Linked DNA regions of Struthio camelus. The protein of the gene in region 2 interacts with the protein of the main gene of each other region in a biochemical or structural test. Links are inferred from orthologs where the notes say so. Each region holds a gene or a part of one and is shown on either strand. Other genes may lie near its edges.

What was found.
Region 1: the proteins of PPARG (region 2) and NCOA4 form a complex in vitro, tested with the Homo sapiens proteins (2 studies listed by BioGRID, with this or other methods). The link is inferred for Struthio camelus from reciprocal best matches to the Homo sapiens genes PPARG and NCOA4.
Region 3: the proteins of PPARG (region 2) and GRIP1 form a complex in vitro, tested with the Homo sapiens proteins (2 studies listed by BioGRID). The link is inferred for Struthio camelus from reciprocal best matches to the Homo sapiens genes PPARG and GRIP1.

The regions. Positions count from the first base shown.
Region 1 is NC_090948.1:33,201,557-33,209,321, reverse strand, and holds the start of NCOA4 (nuclear receptor coactivator 4), read left to right. Parts: upstream 1-4,723; 5' UTR 4,724-5,447; coding exon 5,448-5,470; intron 5,471-6,889; coding exon 6,890-7,043; intron 7,044-7,537; coding exon 7,538-7,678; intron 7,679-7,765. UniProt on the Homo sapiens protein: Cargo receptor for the autophagic turnover of the iron-binding ferritin complex, playing a central role in iron homeostasis. Acts as an adapter for delivery of ferritin to lysosomes and autophagic degradation of ferritin, a process named ferritinophagy.
Region 2 is NC_090955.1:20,125,059-20,132,739, forward strand, and holds the start of PPARG (peroxisome proliferator-activated receptor gamma), read right to left. Parts: upstream 3,062-7,681; 5' UTR 2,975-3,061; coding exon 2,848-2,974; intron 2,840-2,847; exon of another isoform or gene 2,673-2,839; intron 2,511-2,672; exon of another isoform or gene 2,365-2,510; intron 1,680-2,364; exon of another isoform or gene 1,381-1,679; coding exon of another isoform or gene 1,350-1,380; intron 1-1,349. UniProt on the Homo sapiens protein: Nuclear receptor that binds peroxisome proliferators such as hypolipidemic drugs and fatty acids.
Region 3 is NC_090942.1:39,757,831-39,764,856, forward strand, and holds the start of GRIP1 (glutamate receptor-interacting protein 1), read right to left. Parts: upstream 3,052-7,026; 5' UTR 2,704-3,051; coding exon 2,571-2,703; intron 1-2,570. UniProt on the Homo sapiens protein: May play a role as a localized scaffold for the assembly of a multiprotein signaling complex and as mediator of the trafficking of its binding partners at specific subcellular location in neurons.

The DNA.
Region 1 (7,765 bases), on a different chromosome or scaffold from region 2:
AAGCATTAAATTTTGGGGTGCTGAAGTCAGTGATTACTCTTAAACATCCTCGACGCTACAGAGAGCATGTGTGAACCAGTACACGTACCTGTGGGAAACGTGTGGTTTGGCAGTCCTGAAATAATCCAGGAAGCGCCTTGAAAAACCTGGTGTGCTGTGGTTTCTAAAGAAGCCCTACAGGAGGGCCATAAGGGCCATGTGCACCCCAGGACAAGATGGTCCTAAGCAGCTGCGCACAAGTAGAGGCACTGAGGTAAATCATCACAGAAAAGATGATGTGCAAGCAAATACAGTGCAGTGAAGTTTGAAAAGCTACCGCCTTGGACTAGAGCATTAGACTTCAAGCTCAGCTGGTGGCTGCCGAGCTCCATGCCTTGAGCGGGCTGAAAGCAGAGACCGGCTGGCAGCGGCAGGGTGAGAGGCTGGGCCGCCAGGAAGGAGGAACGCAGGAGGGAGGTTGGGGACGGGTCTGGCACGCAGCTGTGGGACTGAACACCAGGTTGTGGCCTGTTGGGACAGAGACCAAGGACAGACGTCAGAGGCTGTGGCTGAGCGAGGTCGGACAGCTGGGCCGGAGCCGCCGAGGGAGAACAGCCCCCTTGCTGCCCGGGCAGCTGCAGGCCTGACGCCGTTCCCCGCCGCCTACGGTGATGACTTTTCTCTCGCTTCGTACTGCGCATGGGGGGCTGTCATCCAGACACGCTGCTGCTGCTCTGGCAGACGATGTCTCCGAGAGGAGCGGCTGTCTGCCGCCGGCACCGCCGTTAACCCGTGCCCCTGCGGCGCCCTTTCTGTCCTGCCGGCCGGAAGGCGGCGGTGCGCGGCCGAGCTGGGCGACAGGCCCCCGGGCCGAGGGGGGCCGCGGCCGGGGGGGGGAGGAGAGGTCTCCAGGGCAACCCAGAACCGTTATTTACAAGGCCGCGCGGGCCCGGCCCCGCACGCACCGGCAGGCGGCCCGGAGCCCGGCTCTGCCGGAAACGGTCCGGCCCTACCTGCTTTGTGGCTTGAGGTAACGTCATTCTACATTTCGCTTTATCAATCCACGGCGTCGGTTTGGGTAAAGAGGGGACGCGCTAGGGCGGAGGGAGCCGCGGCCCCCATCGCGACATGGCGCCCGCCGCGACATGGCGGCGGGGCGGGACCCGGGCCAAGGGGGCGGGGGCGGGGCCCGGGCGCAGGCGCCTGCGCGGGGGCGGCGCTCTCGCGAGAGCGGCCGTTCGCCGCCTGGCAGCCGGGGCGCCGCGCCGCTGAGGGGAGCCGCGCCGCGGCCGCCGGTAACCAGCCCCCCCGCCCCGTCGGCGGCCGCGGGGCCCGGCCAGGCGCTGCGGGACGGACAGGCGCTAACGGCCGCCGTGGTCCAGGCGGCCGGGTCGGCGGCGGTGCGCGCGCAGCGGGGGGCGGGGCGAGGCGAGGCGAGGCGAGGCGGCGGGGGGCGGTTTTGCCCCGTTTTCCTTGGCTGAGCGCCCGCGTTTGCGGCGTTGCGTGCGGCTTGGGCACGGGGAGCGGCGGGGCGGGGCTGAGGTAGGGGCGCCGGCGTCCGTGCGCGGGCACGGGTATACCTCTGCGTGCGTGTGCGTGCATGTACGCGTGTGGTGTGTGCGCGTAGACGGAGGGGGGCCGCTGGCTGGCCGTTACGTGATTCGGCAGCGAGCCGCCAGGAGCGTTTGTCGGCGGGGTGCGAGGATCTCGGCGGTGCGTTTCGGCCAGGCTTTTCGGCGGGGAGCGGGATGGCGGGCCGGGGCCGGCTGCGGGCGGCCGGTCGCGCCGGGCCGGGGCCGGGGCCGGGCCTGGGCCTGGGCCTTCCCCTGCGGCGCCGCGCAGAGCCGTTTGCGTTTTGTACTAGCTGCGCTTTCCGAGGGCTGCAGAAGCGGTAACGGTAATAACCGCCGTCACGTAGCTCAAAAGCGGTGAGGGCTCCCCGCGCGCGGCGGGGGTCTGGAAGCGCCGGGGGCGCGGTGCCCGGGAGGGGGCCGGGGGCTGGAGCCCGGGCTCCTGGGGAGGGCGGGGGGCTGCGTTTGTGGCTGGGGCTGAGGCGAAGAGCTTTCACTGCAGCGTTAAATAAGCTTGCAGTTACGGGAGGGGGGAAAAAAAGCTGATAGTCGTTTGAAGAAAATAGCGCTCGCGAGTCTGTAAGAGCGCGCGTTGTGTCGATGGGTGTGCTGCCGAGCGCGGTCACGCTCCTCGGCGCCTTGCGCTCCCCGCGGAGCCGGGCGTTGCTACTTACTTGTTTCCCAAAGGGCTTTAAGCGTAAAAGGCTGAGAGAGAGCTGTGTTTTCCTGTAAGATCTGTGTTTAGATAAGCGTGTCTCTCCTGCTCAGGTACCTGCTTTAGTATTGCATATAACTATGGCACGGTGATTTCAGACATTCATTTTCAGCTATTCTGTGGTGTCACTTAAGTGCCGCTGCTTGCAAAACATAGTCTGAGCTCTAAAGTCCACAGAGTAGGAGCATGGCCAGGCTTCTTGCCCTTGCTGCGCTAGCGGCTTGTGGCTCTTCCAGCAGCCTCCTCCTGTGACACCTCCACCCTAGAGCTGCTCTGTGCCCTGGCCCGGCTGCTCCAGTGTCAGAGCAGATTGAAAACGCAGTCGCGTGGGTTCAGGTTTGTGGCGCCCTTCCAAAAGAGCGCGGCCGGAGAAGAGCTACTTGAATTCTAGAAAATACGTTACCTGCAACTTGCTTTTATTCCTTCAGGTGCTATTTTGAATTCTCTTATTTACAGCTGTTGGAGCTCATTTTTCTGCAGGTGATTTCTGGCTTAAAAATATATGATAGTGCACAGTTTCTTTTTTTGGAGTAAAACAAACCCCCAGCAGAAGATCCGTGCAGATGCTTGCTGGTGGTCACGTTGATGCTTTACTGTATAAAATGCATGTTATTTTTAGGTATAAATGGAAATTTCCGAGATTGACTTCTTGTACTTAAAGTACTAACTCGGTTGACCCAAACTCCCACATACCTAATTTGGGATAGCTTCTTCAGAGGAGCAACTGTTTTCTGGTGGGGTAAAACAGAAACGAAGAGGGATTTCAGTTCAAACAAGGCAGCTGGTTTAAAACCAGGTCACTGAGACCTTTGCAGCAGCCGGGTACTGGCAACTGAAAGAAATCATTCAACGTTAATAAATAGAGCCTGTCAGGTATGAATTTTGTGCAGTTGCAGAAGTTTTTCCCCAGTAGAGGCTTAGGAAGATCATCTTTTCAAGGTTATTCAACATCCATTTGAAATACAAAGACCACGAGTCTTTATAGGCAACAGTTGAGATGATTGTGCTGAGAGTGAAGAGCTGGTAAAACCGGTTTTCTGCAGGGCTATTAGCGGATTGTGTAGGCAAGGAAGGCAAGTTTGTTGTCCCCTCCTTCTCTCTGCTCCCCAGCCACATGATATTTAATTAAAATCTAAAATATGTTTTTTTTTCAGTTGAGCTTCTGAGCTACAAAATAAAAGTAAGAGAAGATGAGTATAAGGAGTAACAGCTTAGGGATGAGGGCAGACAGCCTCTCTGTAAACTAAAGATTATACAAACTGTTAGGAGGAATAATACTGCAACCAAAAGCTTTTAGCTGAAGAGTGTTTGCAATACCAGCCCTCCGGTGCAGTTTTGGAGTATTAATGGAAATGGCCAAAAACTTTTCTATGAGGACAGGCAATTATTTGGCAATTGGGAAAAAGAGTGCATCTTCCCAGCTCATTTTAGGCCTTCCTGTTGCTTGTATAACTATACTTTTTTTTTAAACTGACTTACATGCATACGTTTATGTATACGTGTGCTTTCCTTATTTGCACGTGAAAGCATGGAAGCAAGAGTAGGCGTAGTAAAAATGAAGTTACGTGTGATGCTGTCATGATCACTCCGGGTATTAACTTCATTCTGAATGTTTTATTATCGCAAGAATTTGTGGAATTTGACACGTTCAGTGCTGGAGTTTAAAACACAAAGGCTCTCATTGTTTAGGGTTTTGTACGGGCAGTGGCAGGGGATTTAATTTGGCTACTGTGCAGGCTTGCAGCCCTTTCCCCCCTGCTGCTGGCCGCCCAGGAGGAGGTAGGCTGCGCTGCCTGCCGCCCGTGCGAGGGGCGCGTTGCCTCGCTGCTTCCTGCGTGAGCAACTGCGGGCTTGTCGCCAAAACGTCTGGTTTTGCGGTTTCCACTGACAGTGGGATGACAAGAGGCATTTGGTGTTTTTAAAAAAATGGGGGAGGCCGGGCCCGAGGTGGCGCGGAGGCTCCCGGCGGGGGGCGGGCTGGGAGCATGGCTGCACCTGCGGAAACCCCTGCTCCCGACAGCGCGGCCTGCTTTGTTTCCTGCTTTTTAATGCTGTTTTTTTAGTGGGGTGTTCACTTGCTTTAGTCATTCTTAGGGAATTTACCCGTGCTTTTGCCCGGGTTGAATCGCTCGCTGCATCGATGAGCGAATATTGGGAGCGGGATCTGTAGTGCGATGGGAAAGAGTTTTGGGGAGGAAAAAAAAAAGTTGCCTATGACTATTTAAAAGTGGTGGGAGTCAGAGCTACTGTGCAATGGAAAGTTGCAAATGAAAGCAGCCTCCTCAACAGGGCGCCGCTGGCCACTCCTCCGTTTGGAGGATAAGTGCAACTTCAGCAGATCCGGGTGGGGGAGGCGTGTCCCTCCGTGGAATAACGTACCAACGGGGTGATACTGCAGTGGGGGTGGGAAAAGCTGGATGACATGGTATTTGCCAGAAAGGGTGAATTAAGGTTACATATTGCAACTCGGTATCTCACTGCAGCAGTAACTGTGGTTTGTTCCTATTGATCATAAGTGTATTGATTTCACTTCCTTCAAAGTATGGGACCTGAATATATCTTAGCCTGCGAGTGCTATGAAATTTGTGATAATGGGGAAACAATGAAATAGGTTGCTACGCCACTTGTCTTTGCTGTTTTTTGTTAAAAGGTTGCAGAAATTGAAATTAGCAATGAATCGGCTCTCTTGACATCCTGAAATGTAGTTTTATGTCTGATTAAAAACCAGCCTGTAAGAACAGCCATATTGCAAGAGTTGTCATCTTCCATCCTCACAGGCAGTACCGAATTATCTCTGAATTCATTTTGGCGAGAGATTCGTGCAACTAGAACAAACAAATTAAAAAATCTTGCAGCAAACCATAATATCCTCAGAGTATTAGAGGAGCATATAGAAGTTTCCCAAGTTCTACCGTGTCAGTATGAAATTAGGATAAAATTTAAAGGATGTTGTAAAGGATAAGCTTATCTCTTACTGAAAATCACTGGCAAGATGAAGAATGTGAAACCTTATGTAACTGAACCTGGTACCAGACTGCACTGTGAAAATAGTAGAATAAAGCTAGCCTTGATAGCACAGAATGGAGAATGGCATGTTTTGGACTTCAATACCCTGAATAAGTCGGGGCGGAATTGATGCAAGTTTAAGAACTAAATTCAAGTTCCTTTCTCTTGCAGCTGGAATGTGCTCTGTGCTTCCTAGAAGGTGAGCTGTGATGGCGAGAGTAGGGTCAGGGTCAAGGTGCATGGTGGTGCTTGGTGCGGCTCCTGCGCTGTGGTGCGTGGCCAGGGCGAGACTGGGACCTGGGGACCTCAGTGTGGTGGCACCAGGGAGCTGCGGCCCCGCAGCTGCCCCCTCCCAGGCTGCGCTGGTGCCCGGCCCGTGCAAGGTTTGCTGTTAGAGGAGCCGCTGCATTTTCTGCCTGCGTCCGTTCAGGGGCCACTGCTGACCCTCTGCACTTTGCTGACCCGGGCAAAACGTGCAGCTCGAGTCTGGTGGGTCCTGGCTGCAGAAGGGTTTTTTGGATTGCGGTTTATATGGTCATGGAGCTTGGAAATTGCAAACTAAGTAACTGCTCAGTAACGCCAGCTCTGTGGTTTTGTTGTCATGTTCAAAATACTCTTTTGACTTCCAGTGTGTGTGTGGGGGGGAGAATATTTGTAAAATATTTATACTGGCATGTGTGCACTTTTTAACTAATTAATTCTGCTGTGAATTTTCATAGATGTCGTTACTGAAGATTTATTTGACTTTTTAAACAAAATGCTTACTATTGGTGCTTCATGTATTCTATGAAACTTAACAGGAGGATTGAAACTCTTAAGTGACAAAACGCCCACAGTTTAGGAAAAAGTGCTACTGCTTCCTATTTTTATTTTAAAAAAAAATCTGTATTTAGCTTTTTTGCTTGACTTGCAAAATCCTTATTTGTGTAACTCTTGTAGAAATTTAATATCCGAGTTCCTTTTACTTGAGGATATGGTGAAGCTACGTTACTGCAGGCTGTGTTTGTCCACAACAAACGTAACAAGTGACTCTTGTAAGTTTGGGCCCTGGATGCTTAGTGAAGAGTTTGAACTGTGTATTAACATGGGGATTTTCAGCTGATGAAACTGAATTACATTTTTTTCATTTATGAGAGATTTTAAGGGAGCCAGTTCATTTGCCTGCAGGTTAAACCCGGGTGACTGAAGCAGTTCTTGCCCTCTAGTACTTGCCAGGCCGTTCTCCCCTGGCTGCGGCAGGTCTGCTGAATGTGTCCTGGATCAGCTCGCGGTGGCTAGAGTTTGCTGGCTAAGCACAAATGTCAGAGGAGTGTGAACAGCAGGGGAGGATTGCTTAAGCTCCTGTGGTTGAGTCTGTTGACAAATAGCTGTTGGGTTTCCTGTGATTGCATTAATTTCACGTGCCAAGGCTTTTGAGAGACTGTTGTCACTGCTGGTGATTTTCTTAATTTTTATTTATATATAGAAAACTTACTGGTATCAGTTCTTAGGTTTTCTTGTTCACCTTTATAGTAAATGTATGGATGGATGTTGATTTTTTTTTTTTCATATGATAACCACTTCTTCCATTAAAGAGGAAGGGAAACTGTTAAGGAAAATGCTTTTCATCGTGTTTTAGAAACACTTCAAGAATGAGTTCACCACAAGATAGAAGTAGAAATTCCTGCAGCAGTGAGCCTCTGGCAAAGTGCCTTCAAGCTAAGAAGGACTTGGAAACAGCTATTTCTGGAATTGTCAAAGCTGAACAACAGATTAAAGACAACTGGAGAGAGGTAATTTAAATTAATAAAATATGTACATAAAATCAACGTGACTTCAATGACAGTTCTAGTTATTCCAAAGTATTCTGTATAATACGATGCTGGACTGAAATTTTCCTAGAGACAGCAAGCATCTTGCTACGTAACTTGGTCATGCTCTTCAGTACCGCTAGCTTAGGCATGCAGAATTTACTGAAGTGTTGGTCTGTATTTTTCTCCTACTTTAGAAAATACTTGGAAATAGCTCTTGGTTTAAACATTAGGATAGAGAGATGCTGCAAGTAAGTGTTCTCTGATACTCCTTTAGAGGTTGCCTTGGAACTGGTACTAACTTGTGAGTCACGTGGCTTAGTGGGTGCCGGTGGTTAGTGTTTGGAACGCTTGAGAAATAGATTGGTACAAAAATACAACTTCTCTGTGAGAAATACTGTTTTGTAATGGGCACAGCATATTGTTGTTCATACTGTTTGACAGACGTTCTAGACATGCTCCGTGTTACCTTGCAGGTGAAAGCAAAGATTCACAGCCACATAAGTCGCCACCTGGAGTGCCTGCGCAGTCGCGAGGTTTGGCTGTTTGAGCAGGTAGATCTCATTCAGCAGCTCAAAGAGGAGGCCTTGCAGCAGCAAGCTCAGCAGCTCTATTGGGTAAGATCTGGTTGTAAACTGATTTAGCTGCACTGACATTTTCAAATAAACTTCAGTCTTGCAAGTAGTATTTTCTTAATTTTACCC
Region 2 (7,681 bases):
ACAAGCAGCAATAACTAATGGGAAGCATTGCGTCCATGACTTCAAAGGGATCTACCACGGAGAATTTATAATTGTATTTTAATTTCTCTTGAGTAGCTGTGCTGCAAACTGTTTTAATGTATGCCAGAACAGAATATAGGAATAAACCTTGCGACAAAAACTAGTAAAAGAAACTCAGATTCTGAGTATCAAATACTCACAACTAATGATTCGCAATTGGACTAGGGAAAAAAAAAAGAGACTGGTAAATATAGTCAATGCAATTTTGAACAGATTAAGGGTCAAAATTAGGAGGCGGCCTCAGAAATCAAGATGAAAATATCATTAAGTACACTTTTCATTATGAATTTTAGTCCAGCCTTGTACATAATAGTTTTCTTTCTACTTTTATTCTTTTTCCTGTTTTTACAATATAACTTTTTGTAAAATTCACTTTATTAGCCATTGCTAAAAGTAAACATTTATATCGACATATAAACTGAGGCCTAGCTTCAGTTATTTATTGATTTAGAAATGTATGGCTATTTCCAAAACTTGATGGAAAAGAGTAAGATTTAGAAGAAATGTTCATAGTGGGTGTTTTTATCAGTCTCATAAGGAAAATTAAAAGCCATAACTTAATTCTAACGTTTTGCCACTTTCATTTTTTGTGATTTTTATAATACGAAATATAAACTTATATCAGAGGAGGAGAATTCTTTATGCACTGACCATACTGTAACGACGTTTCATTGAACATTGACATTTAATAAATTGTAATATCCAGTAATTTGACAATGAGGCACCGCTAAGAAGCGCATACTATCTTAAGGCAGTTTACAGAGATATGATCTGTGAATCCCTAACAGTTAATGAGGTATTTTACAAAACTGATGCCCCAGAATATTCAAATTCAAAAGCTGCCTGCGTAGAAATACCTTTAAAATATATTCTGACTGGTTACCATGTAAAAATTCATGTCAACTATTTTTCCTACTCTCTCTCCCCTTGACAAGTCTATGTCTATGTTGTACCACAAGCCTTAACACACTGCTATGAGTGATTTTTTATAATCTGATAATTAAATCTCTAAGCAATGTTTGCAGTGACTTTTAGTGACAGCCAGGGAGAATAAGAATGCCAAACACCACTTCACACAGCAAATTCTGATATCAATGAGCGCACAACACACGAAACGTGTTTACAAAGGACAGCACTGAACACCTTATGTCATACATAGTTACTTGGTGTACACAGGGAATTTTTAGTTAACTAGTAACAAATCATAGTAACCTTTTAAAAGTTAAATTACTGATTAAATTGTGGACTAATTGCTACCAGAAGAATATTTTTTATTTTTGGATACTCACTATTAAATGGACCGTCACAGCCATGTTCCATGGCAAAAGCTCTTTTAGAGATGGGGCAGTAGGTCGCAAAGACAACGCCAGCCCAGACCCTCAATTATTTCAAGGACAGTTATGATTGATCCTTCTGATTTAAGGGAACCTAAATTTAGAGTCCACCGCACATGGAGAAACTGACACTTTCCTGAGCTTTTCATCAGGCTCAATGTTGGTCTTACGTCACTACATTATTAATAAATACATCACTGTTAACTCAGCATTGTATTGTCGTGTGTACACAGTGCCACAGAGTTACAACACGGCAGGAACTTGCGCTCTGAGTTGTAGAACACCCTGGAGAGAAATGACACCAGGAAGATTACCAAACGCTCCCGCAAACCCGAGGCGCGCCGTCAAGACCTAACACATTTCAACACCACATCTCGGCTGCTGCGGGCTCAGAAAGGCTCCCCGATTTTCTGCGGTTGAGAAATCGGGGCGGGGCGGGGCGGGGTGGGGGGGAAAGGAAGAAGAAGAAGAAGTCTCTTCATTCATGAGGGCAGCAGGCAGGTGAGCACCGCTCCATCCCCGGCGGCCAACGGGCACGGCTGCCGCCAGCTCCGCGGGGCAGGCGTCGCCCCTCTGGCCGCTCCGCACGCTCCTCACGCCACCAAACGACCGCCGCTGCCCCCCCAGCCAGCCCCAGCCCCAGCCCCAGCCCCAGCCCCGCCGCCTATACAGCACCATGGACACGGTGCCGGCCCGGCTGCCGCCTCGGCGGGCGGGGAGGCGGGGGGGGGGGGAGAGGGCGGCCGCCCGCCCCGCGGAGGTGCCCGGCGGGCGCTGCCCACCTGCCGCCCCAGCGAGGGTCCCCGCCGCGCCGCCAACCCGCCGCTTCGCCCCCTCCGCCTCGGCGAGAGCCCGCCGGCCGGCCGGCCGCATCGCCCGCGCCGGGGCACGGCCCCCGCCCCGGCTGCCCGCCGGGACGCCGCGCACCCCGCCGCCCCGCCCGGCCCGGCCCGGCCCCGCCGCCCCTCACCTCAGCGGGAAGGTCCGCCGCAGCCCGCACCGACCTGGCGCTGTCAAGTCTCAGCGGGAGAAACTGTTCCCTTCCAGTGGGATAAACTCCCCCGCTCGGCCCGTCCTACCGACCAGGCGCCGCCTCCCCCCCGGCGGGGCGCCGCCTACCCCGCCGGCCCACGCGGCCCGGGCCGAGGGGCGAGCCGCCGCCCGCCGTCGCGCGCTCGGGGCGCCGCGCTGCGCGGGGCTGTGCTGCGCGGGGCTGGCGCTGGCGCTGGCGCTCGCGCCGCGACCGTTGGCGGGGTCTGGCGGGGGGAGGGGCGGCGCGGCGCTGAGGGACGGGGGAAGGCGAGGACGCGCAGAGGGAGCGGGTCGCTGAGGAGGAGGAGGAGGAGGAGGTGCTGCCGCCGCCTCTCCTTCCTCTCGCCTTTAGCCCGCGTCCATGCACTGGAGCCGGTGCCCTGCGGGCTCGTGCCCGCTCAGCGGGATCACAAGTGCGTACCTGAGGGCAGACCGCGGCCCCTGCAGTGGATCTGGAATTTGATCTCTGCTCTCTCTAATCTCCTCCGCTGTGTAACTGAAAATTCAGTTTTTCCGGCTGCTAACTGCTTTCTCTTTTGCGTTTCCATTCTCCTCCAGCTAACTCCTCTCTGCGCTGCGTGCCGTTGGTCCTGTCTCCTCGCGTCAGTCTGTGTCCCACTGACAGGAATACAGGCTTTTCTGAAAACAGGCTTAGCAGTAACAGAGGTAAATGAAATTCCTTCCCCCCCCCACACACTTTTTTTTGGCTACAGGTTGTCATCCCCCCCCCCCCCCCCACGGAGGAATGCAGAGAGATGTGGTACAGGCTCTTCTCAGTAGGTCTCGAGAGAGAGCAAGTTCAAACAAGTATGTCACCTCCTCCTGTTTCACCCTCAGACTCTTTTAAAAAGAAGTTAGATGTGGAAAAAAAAAAAAGTCACAAGATCAGCAGCGTTTAGAGAGTCGTCCTGTAAGTCAAGATGCCCCAGGATACAACAGTTTATCTTTAAAAACCCTTGATCTCTTGGACATCGTTAGAGGATTCAGAGGATCCTAAGTTTGCCTCATTACGGTTCTTAGTCATCAGGCATTTTGAAAGGGAGTCTACATTTGCTATATTATTTGTACACTGAAGGCAATTTATAGATTAGGGTTGAATGCCTCAAAATATCTGGTCTACATATAGATACTAACATGGCCTACAGCTTTTTGTTTATGAGAATAGTCTTTCTGTCTGTAGAGGCTTGAAGCCTTGTGTTAATTTTTAATGAGAATTATCTATTTGTATAGGCTTGAGGTGGGTGTTAACTTCTGCCTTGACATATCAAGGAACTTTTTTCATTTACGCTTTTCTCTCCATCTGAACTTTTTGCTGTAGAAATGTGGAAATCTTTTGTTTGTAAGGTTTTTGTTTTTCTTTTGGACTTTCTTTTTAAAATACTGCGGTAATACCTATTCAGTAATCCCCTGATTCTGTATTGGGGGCCAGGTACTGAAAACAAGTAAAACAAAACCTTAGAATTGGCTCAAGATGCCATGGGTGAATAAATAGGCAAATGTAGGTAAAAATAATATAGCAATAAAAGAGGTTGAAATATAGAAATTAATAATATTTCTAGCCATTTTACAGCAGTATCTCATGTAAAGTTTCAGTAGAATATTAAAATAAGAAGGATCTTAGCTGGATATCTCCACGGAGAGTTCAGAATTAGCTCTGTTGCAAACAGAAAAAAACGCTGCTCTCATAGCAAACAGCCGGACAAAGAACACTGGAGGATCTCGCCATTTCATTTAAGTGTCTGAAGGATAGAAGAACCCTTCTGAAACTCTAGACTTTAACGTGCTCCAGGAAACTGGGAGCGCTCCAGAAATTGGGAGGCATTATTGCACATCTGATTGTGGCTGTATATACTCATAGCTTTGAGTTTAAACTTTTAATAAAAGTTCATAAGCAAAGCAGAAAAACAAAGCAAACTTTAGATTTCTAATTAAATGGCATAGGTGAAATAAGGGACACATCTGACTTTTCAGAGAAGCCGCCCAAACAGAGCTTTCAGGAAAAGTATTACAAACATTATATAATTTTGTTTCTGTTATATACATTATATTATTTTAACAAGTTCATCCCTTGGACAGAACTTGTGAAATATTTTAGATTATTATGTTCAAATTATTTAGGTTTTGTAAATATGTATTTTAACAGATTGGGGCAAGAAGGGAAAAGAAATTACTTAGTCTGATTTCCTGCCTAACGCAGAACATAGATTTTCACATAGTATTTGGTTAATACTATTAAATGTATCAGTTAGAAAGGCAGCTAATCTTGGTTTGAAGAATCAAGAGATGAAGAATCCATGAACTTTCTTTGGTACTTGCGCTCTCCCTTAAAAATAGGCCTTATTTATAATTTGAATTAATCTGCCTTGCTTTATCAAGTGTTTTTCACTTGCAGCACGTGGAAAGCCAATCATTTTATATTAAAACATAAATCAAGTAGGCTACAAATATATTCTATAATTAATTCTAGAATTTCTTTTTACATTAATGAAATGGTCATGATAAATTACTTCATCAATTTCTTGTACACCTTTTGTTTGTATCATGTGACTGCACAGTTTTGGGTTGCGGGGTCTTTCTCCTCTACTACCTCAGTGAATTCCTAAGTTTTAGTGGGCTATTTAAACATTCTTAAATAAGAACGAAACATTAGGCTCAGGCCTTTCTGAACCATGGGCAATGCTCCCCTAAGTTCAAAGAGAAGCAGGAAAGGGCTCTCAGCATCAGTTCTACTTTTAAAATTAGAGGATAACTTGTCTTTACAAAGAGATCAGTTATACTTTGTTTTTGTAGTGCATATAGAAGCTTTAGATTTCTTTTCATGTAAGAGAACTGCATTTTATATTATTATTAATCATTCTTTCAGTTTTTGTGGTAAGTCTCTTTTCAAGAGTTTGATGCTTCTGAAAGGGAAATCTTAATTCTGTGCTGAGTATGAATTCTTTTTAATCATTAAGAAAATCTTAAGCAGATTAAAGTGAATCATATGGCAAGAGTAGTCCCACTGAAATGAGTAAGAGTTCTTTGTGGAGGCTCAGAATGGATAAGGGTGTTAGTCTGGCTCTAATTGCCTCTCTTATATATACATTTTTATTTTACTTTTCTATTTCAATGAAAGAACTGTTGTGCAACAGGTTCTAAGCTACGCCAGGTAGGGTTTATGGCTTGATTTTAGGTTAGAACAATGACTGTAATAAAGAGATCTTATGATACTGTGATTTCTACGATTGGCTTGAAAAGGATAGAAATCTTGTAAGGACACAGAAATGAGAGATTTATACCTCTTCCTCTCTCTGCAAATATACTAGTTACAACTTTTACTTAATTATTTTGATGCTTCCATTGTGGCTATGCTTTAAGTCTCTAGGTGCATTACAGAAGTTTGAAATCACAAATCACGCAGTGTATCCCATCTCTGTATTCTGCAAAAAATGAAAAATCATCTAGCCAAACTTTTTAACATCTGGAGGGCAATCTCATATGCTAGCAGTGTAACTATAAGTCTAGCAGTTAAAAGAACAGTTCTAGTTGTGGAAATTGCATTGTTTTGAGGCAAAGGAGTTTAAGTATGCTAAGAAACTTGTGCTGCTGCCTTTTTTACAGTTACAGTGTCTACTTTCTCTTGGGTTATGTAATTTCTGAATTAATATCTGCTGTTCGTTTATTAGTAGCAAGAACTTTTTATTAGCATGTCAGTCTGTTGGCAGTTTTTTGATTGTTGGGGAGATATGTTTGTAAAAGGGATTTCATAATATTCTGCCTCACTCCAATTTTCATGTTGCCCATACATACACTTTTATTTGAAGGAAATGAGAGGTTTAAATTGCCATCAGTGGCGTTTTATATAGATATATGTGGCAAAGTCTATAGTGTAAGACGCATTCTTTAAGTGATAGTAGGGGACTATCCCTTGGTACGATTCCGGGCTCTCTTTGCAGTTTGCACTACAGTATTGTTATGTTTCATCTTGCATGCTGTGCCTTGTATCCAGCAAAGGTGATAGGACTAGGCGTAATGCAGGTTTGTCATAGATAACTTTAGAGCGGATCAAAACAGGAACCTTTTTAGTTAAAAGTGATCCTACTTTTCTTGAACTATGAGTCTTAGATAAAAAGAACTCAGAATCCAAATTCATGACTGCTTTAAATTCTATAAAGCCAAGATCACAGCAGCCTGCCTAACTCTAATTATAATGGTTTATTCTTTATCTTTGGTCTTTCCCCAACTCTTGGCTTCTCTGATTTCTTTTCCTCTTGAAGAGGATAACTTTCTAGAGCTGTCTGGTTCTTCTGTGATAGGCCGTTATCTTCATAGTCTAGTCCCGTTCCGATCAGATAGGTCCAGACTGCATCTCACGTACACAGAATGAAGACAAAAAGACATAAAGGAATGAAGGGCTCAAGCATATACTGTTATCCATCAGATTTGTTAATATATAAGATATTCATTTCTCAAGAAGTCACTTTAAAGCATCCAGAAATTTCTGATACTTTTATGTTGATTCTCATTTAAAACCATTTTATCCTAATTTGTTGGGTGATTAAATTAAGAAATATTTATGAATGTAACTTATTCAGCCTTAGAAATTCAGTTTTCTACAAAATTGTATACATGTAGACATCTTAAATTAGTAGGTGATGCAATTAAGATTTAGAGTTGTGCTAATATAAGATGGGAAGGGGGTGGCTAGTCTTGTGGTTAAAGCATGGGACTAGCTGCTGAGAGGTCTAAGTTCTATTCCTGGTTGTGTCACTGACTTCCTGTGGGTCACTGGGCTAAGTCATTAGCTGTGTCTCATTTTCCTCATATATAAAATGCAAATAACACTTGTATAACTGAAACGCCGTGAGCCTGAAGTCAGTAGTGTTTATATCAGTGTTTTCTGCTCATAAATGGACTTTGTATATAACCATATCGGGAGATCTAAACCTGTATTCCTAATTAGCTTTCATGTATTTGCCGTCTTTCTCACACAGGCAATTCATTGATTCCAGTGAAAACTCCTGGATGCAAAATTTAACTTAAAGCATCTGAAGATCTTTTTTTGTCCAGGTTCAAATTAAACATTTGTTCATGAAGAAAATTGTAAGAGTGTGGGGAAGGCAGTTTTATGATACTTACTCCCTAATAATTGTTAAAAAGGAATTAAGTCCTCCTCCATTGTTTCTTTTGGAAGATTGTGTGAAGATCTCTTGGTACTTCCATTTCCTATGACCTTTGTCCTGTTTTATAGTTTTTATGCATTGTTGTGATGGAAT
Region 3 (7,026 bases), on a different chromosome or scaffold from region 2:
CTCTGATTGTTCTAATGTAGCTTCTATACTGACATTAATTCTGTCTCCGTTCTAGGCAATATTATAAAAGGGGGGAAGAGAGAATAACAAGCCCATAAAGTGATTGGCTCAGACAATCTTCAAATGCAGTAGCTAACTGGATATGTAACTCATACAAGACGACCCTTGAGGAGGGATGGACAACACTATAGGGAAAGGAAACATCCTAAAAAAAAAAAAAGCTCCTGTTCTGTTCAGCTGAGTGAACAAGTCTCTGATTTCATTAGTTCTGATATTCTGAAAATCATACCAATAAAGTGGATCCTATTCTCAAGCATGCACACTTCTAAACACATGAATGCAAAAGGAATAGCTTTTAGAAAGTCTGCGATTACTCTAAATTTGAACTGTAAGCAGCATAATGCCAGATCATCGTTAAATTAAACACGAATCGCTTCATTGTTCCAACTACATGAAACGCAGCTTAACGATAGCATTTACAGGAGCACCAGCAACATCTCTTGACATTGCGTACATCAATTTAAGTAGGTACTGCCCCTATCCAACCAAAACAGCGCCACACACAGCACAGGCAGAAAAGGCATTTGAGGAGCCATTGTATTTGATGTGGTAGCTCTATAAAAGCCTCTTCTCTTCCTGATGATTGATGAACAAATAAATCTCTAGGGCTCAATCTCCTGTGACACATTTAAGTAACTGCCAGAAGTTGCAAACTACTTGTGTCCAACTCTATAGGGCTGGACGTTATTTGGATTATTTAGTCTGGGGACTATGATCACTAATATAAGCAACATTCAAGGTCAGTTACAAAATTTGACACAGATTCTTCCACTCTAAAATACTCAGAATCTCCACAGGCTCAAATGTGAGAGAAAAAATATTCTTTTATTTTATGAGTAAAATAAAAATTAAAACAAATATTAGACATTTGGCTCCATCTTAGTCCCTCACATTAAGTCAAGAGCAATAATTTATTAATCAACATTCAAGAAATCCTTATTACATATGACAGGTTTTGGAGGGTTTTTGCTTTCTTATTTAAAAGACCTTCAAGAACAATCAGCTAGTGAAATATTCTGACAGACTGTTTTGACATATTCATTTGATTTGCGTACTAAAGCAAAAGAAGTTGCGTTCTTCCATTAACTTGAAACATTTTCACATTCTTCAGTGCTAAGTAGATTTAAATTTTTCAGTTCTTGTAATAGCATATTCCATGGTAATACATAATCTGCTAAAACAGTATCGCTCCCCAGAATAGACCTTTTCTTAAGGGATCTCAGTCTGAATAGCATTGATAAATTCTAAGATGATCAGCATTGTAAATTTTCTTAAAAACAGAAAACAGCAAGGATTTTATTGTGGAGAGTCCCCGTAAACAACCAAACTCTCTATATTAGTTTACTTCTGGAGATAAGGCAAGCATGGTGCACTTGGAGAAAACCAAAAGAAAATCTCTTGCTTCATAATTTTCCACATAATGGCAGTACTCTGTTGCTCTAAAGCACAATCACATTTATTGTCTTAGAACAAATGTAATGTTTTCATGATTTATTTCAGCAAAATGGAAGTGAAGCCCAATGATACAAAAAGAAACTGACAGCCAATGGTACATACAACAAAAAGTACATCAAACTTCAGCTGCTGAACAAAAGGCAAAGCTCCCAAATCACTGGTCACAACAGCAGAAACCTTTTAAAAAGATAATTTTTGTGCATGACTGATTCTACTGTCGCTACCTTGCACTGACAAAGCTGCATAATAAACTCAGCAACATCTGAGTGTAGCTTCCCTCACATTGTCCCTGCAGGCATTTCTGGGCATTTCCAACCCATGGGGAGAAGTCAAAGGCTGACCATGCGCTCATAAGCCTGACAGGTACAGGGAATAAATCTTAGTGTGCTGCAATTTACCATACACATTTTGCAAGGGGACTTAAGAACAGGCAGTTTATTTAGGTTTATAGCAAACTGCTGCAGTCATCTGACTGCAAACAAACAAAAACAGCTACTTAATTCTGTATAAGTGATCCTGAACGTGCAGCGACAAAGCAGCCCACTTGAGTTACCTTCTGCTGAAAAGAGCCGGTCACAGCGTGGGCTCAAGGGACCGACTCGCACTCAGCAACCAACAGCAATTGTCAACTTGAACTTATGAATGAGCGATCACTGCCTTTCTATTGCTTTAGAAATATCCACAGCGCGGCTTTACGAAGGCATTCGACAAGGGCCCATTGCACCCGTTTTCAAAACAAAGGATTTTACCAAAGGGTTTGCAACAGTAAGACTCAGTTAACTGCACCTGAAATATTAAACAGGTCTACAGACCGCGCTTACTTTGAGAGAGCGACTGTGCCACTTCAACTGTTTTTTATTCCTTGCTGGCAGTCACAGACAGATAAATCTACAATGGGAAGGTAATGTTTTAATACTTGCACCAGGCTCAGATGCCACCGTGTGAGAAATACTGTTTGGGTTTGCCGTTCTTTTTTTTTTTTTTTTTTTTTAATAATCCTAAAAGCATAATATTTCTCACAGCCAAAGGTAAATGAGGTTATGCAAAATACTTACTTCGAAAATGCTCCGAGGCATAATAATAAACATCCTCATAACCCTCATGGTAATCCTCCTCTGGCCGGTACTTTTTGCCTTTTCTTCTTCTCGATCTTCTTATCTGCTTGACAAAGCCCAAGAAGCGCTCCATCTCCTCGGCAGCGGCACCAACTCGCAGCCCCTTCGCCCTTGGCTTCACAGACAGCTGTCCGAGCACAAATTAACAGCAAACACGCAGGCAGAGCTACACCTTTTGACCAGCCACTCCGGCACCATGAAAAAAAAAAAAAACCCTTCCTTATCTCAGCTATGAATAGAAAGCATATTCTTTTTCCCTTTAAAAAGGATGGGGGGGGCTTTATCAAATCTACTAGCTGGAATATTTCAACATGAAAATAGATAAAGGAGGAAAATATTGTAGTGAGAAGTGAATCTCTACATCTCAAGCAGTTATTAAACAAAATAGAAGAAAGTTGAAGAGATCTGCCTGCCTGCCAGCAAGAGGAAACCCAGCACTGAAATCTCCCTATCCTATGTCTCCATCATTTGAAGAGGGCTGGGAGGCGGGGATTCATGTTAGTCAATGGACTGAACCACATCTCGAGGCAAAATAGGTTTCCGATTGCCAGTTAAATCCTATCCTAGCATTTAAACGGGCACAAGCTCAGGACCTCGTTTGAGTTCGTTTGTTCTAAGAACAGGAAACTCGCTAATCCATTTTTGGCATCACATGTGCTGCATGAATAAATAGCAAAGTGGTTTAACCCATACACACAGCCCACTCACCGACAAGTGTGTGCTGAATGTGTTAATTGGAGCAGCAGGGAGAAAGCTCGGCAGCTGCTAAAAAATGACACATATACCCATTGGGCATTAGTATATTCTAATCACTGTTAGATCTAAATATTAAAATACACTTCACAGACAGGTTTCTTATGGAGCTGGCGAGGCTATATGGTGATAGGCAAACAAAGGAAGCAACATCATAAGCACACCATGCAATACTCATTTAAAATCCTAGCCGAGTTTTAAGAACTTTAAAATTAAGCTAAAGCAAGAGAAACTATCCTTTGCACTGAGTGACGCTAGTAGAAAGCCTGAAAAGGTGCCCAGGACGTTTTCTTACTACTCGTCTGAATTCCACAAGCATTCCCGAAGATAAGACTGGAATTTCATGGGCATTTCTGATGAAGTTTCCCTCCCTCGCAAGAACAAAAGCAGTATCTGCTCAAATTCTATCACGCTGCCATTTACCACAGAGTTTGCTTTGTAATTGCAGTCCAGCAAACCAAGGGAGGTGTCTATGCCAGCAGGACATCTCCTGGTGGCTGGCACAAGTCCAGAATCGATCCATCACCTCCGTCAAACCATGCACCGAGCATGGTCACCTGCATCCACGCTCTCAGGAAATGCCATTTCCCGCCTATGAATACGAGAAAGTCATAGAGTCTTCCCGTAAAATTGATTTTACAGGATCATCACCTGGAAAATGAAAACCACGCACAGGTGGCATTAGTTTCTGGTGATTCACTAGTTTGCAAAGAGCAAAGCAACGCAACTTAGAAAAGGGCATAAGAAGTAAAGCAAAAGCTAGGATTGCAATTTATCACCGCTTCAATAGAAGCATGAAGATATTGATCATATTGTAGTTGGAATTTTCTAGTTTTGCAACATGTAGAAGCAGTACAGTAAGCTGGATCTGCTGTCTGAGGGTGTTACACACAATGAAAGCAGGCAGGCAAACTCTTTTGGGGACTGTTCCAGCATCCCAGCTATTTTAAAATAAGACAGTTGCAGGAACACACCCATTTTAGCTGGTGAAGCTGACAAAAATCCTGAATGTACCTAGCAAGCTCTCCACAGGAATGTACTCTAATCTTCCTCGACCTCAGCAGCCCGTTTTTCCACTGTGAAGATGCAGCCACTATCATTGCTTGACGCACACACCCTGAGGTCACTACCAGAACTATTTTTAGTGTGGTTAACTTTTATAAGGAAGTTAGCTGTGTTTTGTTACATTCCTGTTTTTATCACACAGCTTATAACTTTCAAAGGATAAGAACTTACAGGGATATTACACACACACACACACACAAAATCTTTTGATATGGACCCCTACGAATGGAGGGCTGTATATTCTCAAGGTTTCCATTCAGATGTCTTTTCTGTGCTTTGCTACCAAGCAGCAAAAACATTGTTAGCATCACGAAACACTGAAAACAGCAACTTAGCCTAGAGCAGAGACAGCAGTCTCCTCTCTGGAAATGGAAATGATATTTTGATGCCATATTTACTCCCACAGAGCGTTCTCCCTGACACTTGTGTGAGGGACTTACCTTACTTTTAGGTAAGAAAGTTGCCTGTAGGTCAGAAACATTCATCTTTAAGACAGAAGTCTTGCAGTCAATGTTTTCTAAAGTTAAATTATAAATGTCGAGTCAAAGTGATACAGCTACTTAAAAAAAAAAAGGAGAAAAGTGGAAAACTTACCCTGTTTTAAACTGCCCCGTAAATGAGAGATGAAAACTGAAATCTGGCATATGCTTAGCTTTTGCCAAGTAAATATACCTTTCTCCAGTACCGCTGCTGTTAAACATGCTGTTGTAACAGAAGCTTGTGTTTGAGATGTGGATTCCACAGTCCTAAACACAGCCTGAAGAAAGCCAGTCCCCAAACAGATTTCAGGCCTTTCCATTGCAAGGCAAGCAAACTAAATAAGGAGGCAAGGTAGCAACCAAATTCTTTCAGCTAGCACAGTAAGCACCAGTTGTAGCATACCAATTGCCTCACCATTTTCTAGAGGAAAATCAATTTTCTTTTGGGTGAGTTCTGAGTTTTTGGAAAAACACATCTTTACCTTGCACAAAAGATCTTCCCCCCTCTCGCCTAGGCTTGCAAAGTGCACCACTAGGGAAGGATTCATTGGGCACGCTTATATTGCTCATTTAGTAAAGCAAAAAAAGGGCACTAAACTGTATTATTGTCAGCGGTCAAGGTAATGGCTCCCACATATCTTGTAAAGCAGGAAAGGGCTGAGAGGGAGCACTAGCGCAACTCTTTGCATAAGCACGGGGGAGTTCATGCTCTGCTGCTCTTCCCTGTGTCCCAGCAACTACCACTGCCAGTAAAGGCCAGGCCCCATCTCTCACCCCAGAGGTGCAGGAGCGGGTGCTACCCACCGCTTCTAGCCCACAGGCTGCCAGCCTGAGCAGCTCCTCATTTATGCACCTCTTTCCTTTTCTATGAACTTAAAGTGCAGAGATAAAGAATGTCAGGATTTGGGCTGGTTGGTTGTTTTTTAAATCTAGAACAACATGAGTTCATGACAGGATTTTCCCCTCCCTAAAATATTTTGGTATTTAGGGTAATCTAAAAAGAAGAAAACATCTCAACTGTAGACAATGGTTCTATATATTATAATAGTCATGAGTATCATGTGTTTTGCCATACTATAAAGCTTTCTGAACAAAACTTATGTTGCATATGCATTACATACTACCTTTACCGCTTTGTTGAGAACACTGGAGACATTCATTAGCTAATCCTTATGCCACACCTATAAATATTTTATAATAGTCCTACTTACAAATGTATAAGCAGAGAATTCAGTGTCACAGACATGGTTTACCGTAGTTAAAAAAAAAAACCAGCTTTTCTGCTGCTCAGCATTCCCTCTTCTGTAGCTCCTTGTGGTGAACAATTCGCTCCTTGATGAAAATGAACACAGATCCTGCAACCCTCTGCTTGAAAATGAATAAAAAGTATCCCAAGAGACTGACAAAAAGCAGGAACATACTAGATGCATACAACACCTCTAGAAAGGCATCCTGATTTTATGGGGGGAGCAGAGGAAGAAACAAAGATTGACATTGAATTTTTTAACATGCAAAACATCAGATATGACAGCGCATTTCATCCCATAGTGACAAAGAGAATAGGATAATTGCACCCAAAGAGCATAAAATAAGGTGTCAGCTGATATTCTGAGGCTTTCTCTGCATTAGAATTTGGGGATCAGTTTTCTTGCGGTCAATGCCACAACAAAAGTTGCAATGTAAATATGACTAAAATTCTTTGGCTCATCCTTTCTCCAGGAATACATCTACTCCAAACAAAGCAACTGCTCTGTTGATATTTCCAAAGTGGTTTGCTTAGAAAACGCAAGGATAGCCATGCTGCCTCCAACATCATGTTAAAAAATTTTGCCAGGTGACAGCAGGTGGATAATAATATTGCTTTATCCGTTCTGATAATTAATTTGTTTAACGTAAGTTACCAGGAACCTCTATCAAACTTGACCTGACTCAGGTTAGTGACTTACTGGAAAAGACTTCATGTCAGTAATCAAATATACCAGCCCGACACTGTCCTTTTCCAATAGTTAAGCTGGGGTGTAAATGCTTCTGCAGAACCAAAATAGGCCGCTTCTACTGAAGATAGATATCAGTGTTTAGGCTTGCCTTTGTATCCATAG